Oryctolagus cuniculus: one gene and its partner. Each later gene encodes a partner of the first gene's protein in a complex. Links are inferred from orthologs where the notes say so. Each region holds a gene or a part of one and is shown on either strand. Other genes may lie near its edges. The genes, in order: TNNT2 and TNNC1.

Region 1 (4,422 bases):
TCTCTCTCCCACCCACCAGGGGCCCTAGGGACCCCCGCCACCTCCCAGCCCAGCCTGCGCCCCACGCAATCCCCAGGCACCATGAGATCGCTCACTCCCTCTCTCTCTTGCTCTCGCCCTCTCACCAGGGGCCCTAGGGACCCCCGCCGTCCCCCCAGCCCAGGCCTGCTCTGCCCACGCCGCTGCTCACGTCGAAGTCCACTCTCTCGCCATCGGGGATCTTGGGCGGCACCAAGTTGGGCATGAAGGGCCTGTGGGAGGAGAGAAGGGGCGAGTCGGGGAGCCGGCCCTGGCACACGACCTCGAACTTGCCGCGTGACGTCAACTCTGCTGCGTGACGTCGACCCCGCCGCGTGCGCCGGCCCCAACACCTACGCCTAAAGGAGCTCTGGCGTCCACCCCGCACCCGGGTGTTGTACCTGGTGCGCCGGGAGGAAGGTGGCAGTGGGATTCTCGCTTAAGGAGAGGGAGCGGGGAGAGGCGAGGAAGCAGGAAGCTGTGATGGGAAGGCGGGCCTGTGGGACGCCAGCTCCCCGCCTTGCACCCGGCAGGACCGCCCCGGGACCCGGACCAGCGCAGTCTCAGCTGGTGGGTGACCCCAGGCCCAGGCGGGCGCGCGCACGCCCGGGTGGAGCTGACGTGAGGTTTGCAGCGCAGGTGCTGGGACCGCCTGGCCAGAGCAGGTTCCCGCCACCCACTGAGAGGGGCAGGAGTGGAGGTTCCATCGGCATGGGGAATACCCCCCCAAGCCCACCCCACCAGGGGGGTCGACCTCTGCCCTCGGCAGCTCTGTGGCCACCACCGCCACTTCCCTTTTGTCCCAGGGCCACCCCAGCCTCAGAGGGTGGTGATCTGGCCACCCTGTGCCTGCTCGGGGCGGACGCTGGTCCACCTGCTTCCTCAACAAACGCGCCAGGGTGGAATTCAGCCCTCACCCCGTGTGCAGTGTGCAACCTGTACAACTGTACATGGCAGTGTGGGTAGTGTGTGCTGCCACACCCCTAGCCCGTGCCACCTGCGCCCATCACCCTCCTGCACTGGCCCGGCCCCTCCCAGGGCTTCACCACAGGTCCATGCCACTCACCTGGGCTTGGGTTTGGACTCCTCCACGGGGCCATCTGCAGAGGAGAGCACACAGCCGCGGGGTCAGGAGGCCCCAGCCCCCCCCCCCACCATGAGCTGGCACCTGTGGGCCCCTGTGAGGCCAGGCTGACTCCCACAGCAGTCCCCAGGGGAGGGGGGTCTCAGGGGGCAGCCGCGTCCCCCGGCCACACTCTCAGCATGGACCTCAGCATGCTACTTCAAGGTCTGCTCTTGTCCGCCATGGCCTCTGGGGCTTCGCAGCCAGGAGGGTCGGTGGCCAGGTCCCCGAGGTGGTCCCACAGTCCCCTCCCAGGTCTCTTGGTTGCCCCCTGGACTTCCTGGTGCTGGGAGCTAGGTGCCCTAGCTGCTGTCTGGCCCTGGAGGTGAGGCTGAGACGATGTTCCCGGAAGGGCTGGGGCACAGGATGACGGCAGCAATGCCGCCCCCACCCCACCCTGGGACCCTCCACGCCCCGGGGTTTCTCCCCCACAGACCCCACACCTCCCAGTGGTTTGAGCTCTAGGAGCCTCATGGAGGGCGTGACTTCCGGGTCCCAGGGGCTGGTCACTGGTCCCATTGTCACTGGCCACCACTAAGACAGCTCCCGGGATGAGAAGGGGTGAAGGCCCAGAGCACCACACCTTGCAAGGACCCCCAGTCCCATCCTCTCCTTCGCTGGCCCCTCCGCCTCCCCAGGGCTGCTGGGGGGGCCCACACTCACCTTCATCCTCTTTATCCTCCTCTTCTTGTCCATCTTCTAAAGGAAACATGAGAAATCAACAAAGGGCCTTGTTCTAAGTGCTAATCCTCCACCCACCCCAGAGTCAGGGCCTAACCAAGGGAGAGCTGCTGGTTTATGGGGCCAGGGGTCTGCACTCACATGCATGCCCCTGGGCCCAAGACTGCCTGAGCACTCAACCAGCATTCACTGATTGGCCAACTGATGGTTGTATCCCACCCAGCCAGGAGGGGCAGGTGCACAGGTGGAGGGCTGGAGGCAGGTGGATTTCTTTCTGCCGCAGGAATGGCTCTGGGGGGTGTTCAGCACCCCGCGAGCCCCCAGCCCCCAGCCCAGGGCCTTACCCTCGGCCTGGGTCTCCTCGGTCTCAGCCTCAGCTTCAGCTCCGCCCCCAGCCTCCTCCTCTTCCCCTGCCTCCTGCTCTGTAGAGGGGAACGAGACACAGTGAACACCCAGGCAGAGGCCGGGACAGAGAGTGGCCGGCCCTGCCCAGCACACTGGAGGGATGGCGTGGATGAACCTGGAGGCAACTGGCGTGAGTGACGAGAGGCTGCCTCGAGTGCTTGGTTTAAGCCAGAAGCCAGCAAACCGCAGCCCAGGGGCCACGTCCAGCCTGTAGACCATTGCTTCCGATAAAGTTTTATTGGCACAGCCATGTGCATCCACAGACTCGCGGCCTGTGGCCTGCTTCCTGCTCCGGCTGCAGGGTTGGGGATCCTGGGTGCCCTCAAGGTGTAAAATGCCACCCGCTCGTCTGCAGCCCACACCGTCAGGGCAGACGGGTGTGACCAGGACTGTGATAAGCACTGTAGCCATGAACCTGCCTCTCCTGCGGTCTGGGACTCCCCACTGGGCCTTTCTGAACACAGAGCCCGGGAGGGCCAGAAAGCTGGGTGGGGGTGTGATGGGTGCGGTGGGTGCTGTGGGCAGCAGCAGGGAAGGGGTGGGCCCAACGAGACTCAAGCCAGGGACTGGGGGGCCCGGGGGCCCTGTCTGCCTGACCTAGCGCCTCTTTCCCCAGGGGCTTCCCTGGGGCTATGACGCCCCCAGCCCCAACTTTCCAGCCCACAAGACAGGCTCCACCTGAGAGAAAGTGCTGGGGAAGCCCCCGTCCTGAGCCCCCCGCCCCCCATCTGAAGGAACCAGCAGAGCGAGACTGAGGATGGAGGAGCTGCCTGGCAGTCAGAGGGGCTGCCCTCGGCAGCAGGCTGCGGGACCCTCTGTTCCCACCCACATGCTGGGCAGGATGCGGACCCCACCCTGCTGAGACGCCTGGAGCAGACAGACGGACAGACAGGTGAGGCGGACAGGGTAACCCCTGGCCCGTGCTCTGCCCGTAGGAAGTGCTTGGCAAGGGTCCTCGGTGACCGAGACTGACACAGTGGAGAAGATTCTTCCAGAAGGCATGAGAGTAGATGCCTGGCCCGCAGTGGCAACCGCCATCAGCTGCGCTGCCCCTCCCAGGCGGCCCCCGCATCCTGACTCCTCCCTGTCAGACCCGTGCTCTCTGGAACGAGCCTCGCCTGTCCCCCTTGCCCGAGTGCTGTCCCTGGGTGCCAGGAGCAGGTCCAGTGCCACCCCAGGGGCCATCTGCAGGCTGACACCGTGTTCCCTCTGACCTGGCCATTTCCAGCCCCCAGATCACTTGGTCCCCAGGCTCCTGCCACCGGCCACCTGCCTGGGTGCTGCCTGGCTCCTACGGAGGGCCCACACACAGCCCAGCACTGTGCAGTGGGTGGGTAGGTGGGGCATCTCAGCCCTGATATGGGCCCCTCAGTGGCCACACAGGGAGACAGCCAGCTGGCGTTTCCCAGCCCATAACCCTAAAGGAGAGATGTGATGACCAGCTCAGAACTGTGGCCCTGACTGGCCCCCTCTAAGGCGGGGGCCAGGCGCTGGCACCGGGGACAGCAGGTGCAGGAAGCAGAGCCGGGGGGAAAGGTACAGTACCATCTTCGTCCTCTCTCCAGTCCTCCTCTTCTGAGGGTCAGGGGGCAGCGGCAGCCAAGGGAGAAGCGAGACAGGTTAGTTCGGAGCAGAGGCGAGGCAGCGGTGGCGGGCGGCTGGCTGGTGCCTCTCGCACTGTGGCCCGGGTCCCCGCTCCCGGGCCAGCGCTCTGCAGCATCGGCTCCCCTGAGCTTCGGGCACCTCCACAGTCCGAGGGAACACCCCCACCCACCTCCCGGCCCGTGACCACTGAGGGGAGCTGGCCTGGCGTGCCCACCAAGGACTGCCACCAGGGGAGCCATCACGAATGGTAACCAGCAGCTGGGCTCTGGCTCTGGACCACGGAGCCTTGGAGAGGCTGTGCCCAGGAAGGAAGCTGCCCCGTGCAAGGCAAGCCCAGCGCCATGACCACGGGGCACAGCTGAGGACTCAGCCCTCGCTCCGGCCCAGGAAGGGGCGACAGCAGGTGGAAGAACTCTCCGGAAGCAGAGGCACTGGGAACGCCGCCGTGTAGGCGACAGGGCTTCCTTCCAGAGCTTGCTCCCCGGCGTCATCTACACCAGGGTCCCCGGCTGCGTGGGGGCAAGTGTCGGCCAGTCACGGCAAGCAAGCGGGGCTGCGTGAGGCGAGGCAAATCCTACTGCGTGCGGCAG
Region 2 (4,547 bases), on another chromosome or scaffold:
CGCGGGCACCGGGAGGGGGCAGTCAGAGGCAGGCAGGCCACTGGGGGGCAAGGCTTTATTCACACCGCAGGCTGGGGAGGGATCCAGGGTCGGGGCGAGGGGCGGCTGACCCTCATGGCCCCGCCCCGGCGGCACCCCAGCTGGAGTCGGAGCATCTGGGCGGCTCCCGCTGAAGGCTGGGTCTATTCCACACCCTTCATGAATTCCAGGAACTCTGTGGAGAGAGGGCCAGGAGGCAGTGAGCGGGCCGCCGGGCAGGGCACGGCGGCAGGGCCCCGGCCCCTGCTCACCGTCGTAGTCGATGCGGCCGTCGTTGTTCTTGTCGCCGTCCTTCATGAGCTCCTCGATGTCGTCCTCCGTGATGGTCTCGCCCGTGGCCTGCAGCATGATCTTCAGCTCGTCCAGGTCGATGTAGCCGTCGGCGTTTCTGAGGGGGAGCCGGGGCTGCAGCTTGTGGGGAGGGCCGGAGGCACCCCTCACCCCCCTCACACAGGGTCCCTTCATCTCAAATTGGAGGCTGCCCACTGCCCCAGTTCTGCCCGGTCAGGGTGGCAGGCTCAGAGGTCAAGAGCAGCGCGCTCACTTGTCAAACATGCGGAAGAGGTCAGACAGCTCCTCCTCGGATTTCCCTTTGCTGTCGTCCTTCATACAGCGGACCATCATGACCAGGAACTCGTCGAAGTCCACCGTGCCGCTGCCTGTGGTGCGGGCGGCATGCCGTGAGGCAGCGGCCTGGACACAAGCCCCACGTTCTCCCTGCACCCTCACACCGCCTCTTGGAGGCGAGCGTGGTCAGTATGCCCATTTGACAGACGAGACAACTGAGGCTCAAACAGGCTAAACAGCCGCTGGACAGACAGAGCCAGGCCTGACCCCAGCGAGACGGGCAGGCGGGGCTCACCGTCTTCGTCCACCTCGTCGATCATCTCCTGCAGCTCCTCGGGCGTGGGGTTCTGGCCCAGCATCCGCATCACCTTGCCCAGCTCCTTGGTGCTGATGCAGCCATCCTCCGCGCCCAGCACGAAGATGTCGAAGGCCGCCTTGAACTCTGCATCAACAAGGTGGGGCCGGGGACAGAGAGAGAGCAGCGCGTCTCAGCAGCCAGGACCCCAGAGGGCCAGCTGCCAAGCTGCCTTCTTCCCTCTGAGACCGCTGAGGTGCCAGCCAGGGGGCCCAGCTTCTGGCCTCCAGCTGGGACTCCTCTCCTGGGACTCCCCCAGCCTGGCCCTGCTGTCCCCAGCAGTGCAGCAGGGGACACTCACCATTTTTCTGCTCTTCTGTCAGCTGCTCTACCTAGGGAGGAAAAGGGGTCTCAGGACACAGACTCAGGCCTTGGCTGCTTTCGAGGGAAGCAACTGTCCCACAGGTGGGAAGGCTGAAGCCAGGAGCCAGGCCACCAAGAAGAGACCTCAGCCCTCCCTTCCTGTCCCAAAGCCCTGAGGTGACACAGCTGGCCTCACTGAGGCTGGGCTCGGGGCCAGGGTGACAGGTGGGCACCCCCTCCAGGGCCAAGGTGACCCGGGGTAACAATAGCCAGTGACCACTCAACGCCCTTTCAGCCTCCCTAATGAAACCCAAGCTGCGAGGCCTGAAGGACAGCTGTCCCTCAGGCTGGGACAATAAAACTCGGGTGGGGACGGGCAAAGCCACCCTCTGTAACCTGACCAGGGTGACCACTGGGCTATTTTTAACGGGGGACAAAGTTAAACCTGGTGATTGTTCTGGGACTTCGGCATGCTGGGGGTGGGGCAGCGTTATCTGGCCCCCTGGCCTACTGCTGTCGCCTAGGGAGCCAAAATTAGTCCCCAGCCCCGCCAGGCCATGTATGGGCACTGGGCGGAGGGCTGCCTCCACCACCCCCCTGGTGGGGGTGGGTGGGCACACCCCCACAGCCAGCCATAGCCCTTCCCTGCCTAGGAGTGGGGCCGCATTCAAGGGGCTGAGGGAGGGTTCCCCTGGGGACAGCGCCTGGGCTCCCATGTGCTTGTCCCCGGGGCAGAGGTCACCCCCCCGGGATGGAACAGGGTCTGAAGCCCCTCAGTGACCCCAGCAGGGTGCAGGTACTTGGGGTGACCACTCTCCAGCCCTTGCTCCCTGACCCTCGTCCCCAGCTAAACCACTGAGCCCTGAGTTTACCCGTGGGCTGGGCCCCTCATTGTCGGTTCCCGTCTTCCCTGCCCCACCTCTCCTGCACGCACACCTAGTCCTTCCCTGCCTTGAGCTTCCATGCCCCTTCCCTAGCCCAGACTCGGGTCTTGCAGCCTGCTCCTCACGACCCCTGGCCACGTTCCAGTCAGCTAGGAAGTGGAGGTTGGAGGGGCACTGCAAGGGTGCGAGCGACAGGCTGCGAGGGGCAGGGAGGGCCAGGAGACAGGAGACAGCCACAGAGACTCAGAGAGGCAGCTCCAGGGGAGCTGAGAGATGCGGAGACATGATGCAGAGATGTGGCCGAGATGGGCACACAGCCTACAGACACGGGAAACAGGGGGCTTGACGGCAAAGGCTCTGACCCCCTCCACTCACCCTGCCAGCTCCACTAGACTGAACCCCCCCCCATGCCAGACCCACCGTCCCTTTGAAGATGCATGTTTGTGTGGGCCTCTCCTGGGTCCCCCCCACTTTGCTGGGGGTCCCCCCGCCCCCATTCTGGGCTAAGTTCCCAGCGGCTCCCCCACCCCAGCCCTGCCCCTCTGCTTCCTCACCGCAGCTTTGTAGATGTCATCCATGCTGTCAGTTCACAGGACGGCTGCTGGGGTTGCCAGCAGCCCTGGGCCTCGGCTTAAATAGCCCTGCTCTGCATTCCCGGCCCAGCCCAGCCCACCGCGGCGTGCAGCGTCCTCCGCCCCCTCCCCGTCCCGGGGAGCTCGGGCTGGCCAGACTCCCTGTGTCCTTTGCCTAGGGCAGGGAGCAGATGCAAGGCTGCAAGGAGCAGCCCTCTGCCCCTCACACCACACGTAAGACTCCCTAGAAAAGCTTCTTTTTTTTTAAAAGATATTTTATTTGAAAGGCAGAATAACAGGAGAGAGAGAGAAAGAGGGCTGGTTCCATTGGCTGGAACACTCTCCCAAACAGCAGCCAAATCTGGGCCAGGATGAATCCGGGAGCCAGGAACTCCAACCTGGTCTCCTACATGGGTGGCAGGAGTCTAAGTTCTTGAGCCATGGTTTGCTGCCTTCCCAGGCGCATCAGCAGGAAGCTGGATCAGAAGCAGATCAGTCCAGACTCGAACTGCAGTCTGAGACGGGACACCAGCCTTGGAAGCAGTGGCTTGCCCCGCTCTGCCACCCTAGACAGCTTTCTTGAACGAATGGGGGGAGGTAGAGGCCTCAGGCCACGCCTGCATGCGGCAGCTCAACCTTCCACCCAGTCGTGGGGATGCACACGACCGAGGCCCTGGAGGAGTGCTGACTTGGCCAAGATTCGGCAGTCTCGGCAGCCCTTGCCTTAAGCGAACCCTCCCCAAGTGAGGGACAAGGCCAGCACGGGGGGTGCAGGGCCCTGCGGAGAGATGCCAAATGCCAAGGCACGGTGCCATGGAACCGGTGAAGGACCGGGTAATCCGGAGCCCTTCAGCTGGAAGTGCCAGAGAGGCCACGGCCCAGGCCTCCAGTTTGCCCCGTGCTTGAGCCAGCTGCACTCAGATACCACCCCTAGAAACCTCCCCCTCCCAGCGTCTTCACCTGTAGCTGGGTCTTCCACTGGGTCAGGGCTTCCTTGCCCCTGGGCAGCACTGTGGCACCTGCCCGGGCGGGGGGGGGGGGCAGGGCCAGCCTGTCTCCCCCCACCTTGCGCTCAGGCAGGACACCACCTGGGGTTTCGCGCACAGCGGCCAGACCGTCCCCTTCCCTCCACCCACCATGCCAGCTCCTCTCCAGATTCCGCCCCCACCCCTGCGGAGCTCCCGCTGGATAAACTCCCTGGCTGGCAGACTACTCCGTGCTGGGCTCGCTAAGTTCTCCAGGGGCCACCGGGTCAGCAGATGCCCAAGCCTGGAGAGGTTTGGGACTGGCCGAGTCACGGGCCCAGCTCCTGTCTCCTGCCAGGAGGGGCATGAGTCTGACAGCCTGGGGATGCGCTACGACTGCCCTCTTTTCCGGAGAAAGAAACTGAGCCGGGCGGAACCGTAGCCCAGAAGGCCACAAGCCTTCCAGCCTCCTTTCTCCAGGGCTGGGACTCTTCGCTCTGCGTTCTGTTGCGCCGCCGCGGCGCCACGCAAACACAGGCGCCGGGAGCGAGCGGGTCCCGCGGGGTGCGCATGCGCGCCGGCGGCGGCTACCGTCCACTGCGCGCGAGGGGCGGGGCGAAGGCTGAGACAGCAGCGGGGCCAAGATGGCGGCGCAGCGCGAGGCGGGGGCGGGGGGCGGCGGGGGCCTGGGGGCGGTGGGACGCTGACCCCGCCCCCTGCTGCTGCCAGTCTGCGCCGAGCGGCTGTGGCGGCGGAGCCCCGAACATGGCGGCTTCGGCGGGCGGCTTCGGGCCCGAGCGGGAGGCCGAGCCGGCCAAGGAAGCGCGCGTCGTGGGCTCCGAGCTCGTGGACACGTATACGG

What was found.
Region 2: the proteins of TNNT2 (region 1) and TNNC1 are in contact, whole or in part, in a crystal structure (PDB 1J1D), measured with the Homo sapiens proteins. The link is inferred for Oryctolagus cuniculus from reciprocal best matches to the Homo sapiens genes TNNT2 and TNNC1. Residues at the interface, in NP_001263274.1 of Homo sapiens: Gln266, Tyr269, Asn272, Val273, Asn276, Arg277, Asp280; in NP_003271.1 of Homo sapiens: Asp99, Phe101, Arg102, Asp105, Ala108, Asp109, Gly110, Tyr111, Arg147, Tyr150, Asp151.

The regions. Positions count from the first base shown.
Region 1 is NC_091444.1:17,357,991-17,362,412, forward strand, and holds the start of TNNT2 (troponin T, cardiac muscle), read right to left. Parts: upstream 2,939-4,422; 5' UTR 2,485-2,938; coding exon 2,343-2,484; intron 2,245-2,342; coding exon 2,167-2,244; intron 1,841-2,166; coding exon 1,805-1,840; intron 1,119-1,804; coding exon 1,085-1,118; intron 252-1,084; coding exon 191-251; intron 1-190. UniProt on the Homo sapiens protein: Troponin T is the tropomyosin-binding subunit of troponin, the thin filament regulatory complex which confers calcium-sensitivity to striated muscle actomyosin ATPase activity.
Region 2 is NC_091441.1:97,259,845-97,264,391, reverse strand, and holds TNNC1 (troponin C, slow skeletal and cardiac muscles), read right to left. Parts: upstream 2,970-4,547; 5' UTR 2,727-2,969; coding exon 2,703-2,726; intron 1,294-2,702; coding exon 1,263-1,293; intron 1,049-1,262; coding exon 902-1,048; intron 699-901; coding exon 584-698; intron 428-583; coding exon 291-427; intron 215-290; coding exon 183-214; 3' UTR 39-182; downstream 1-38. Other genes in the region: NISCH (nischarin), read left to right, coding at 4,451-4,546. UniProt on the Homo sapiens protein: Troponin is the central regulatory protein of striated muscle contraction. Tn consists of three components: Tn-I which is the inhibitor of actomyosin ATPase, Tn-T which contains the binding site for tropomyosin and Tn-C.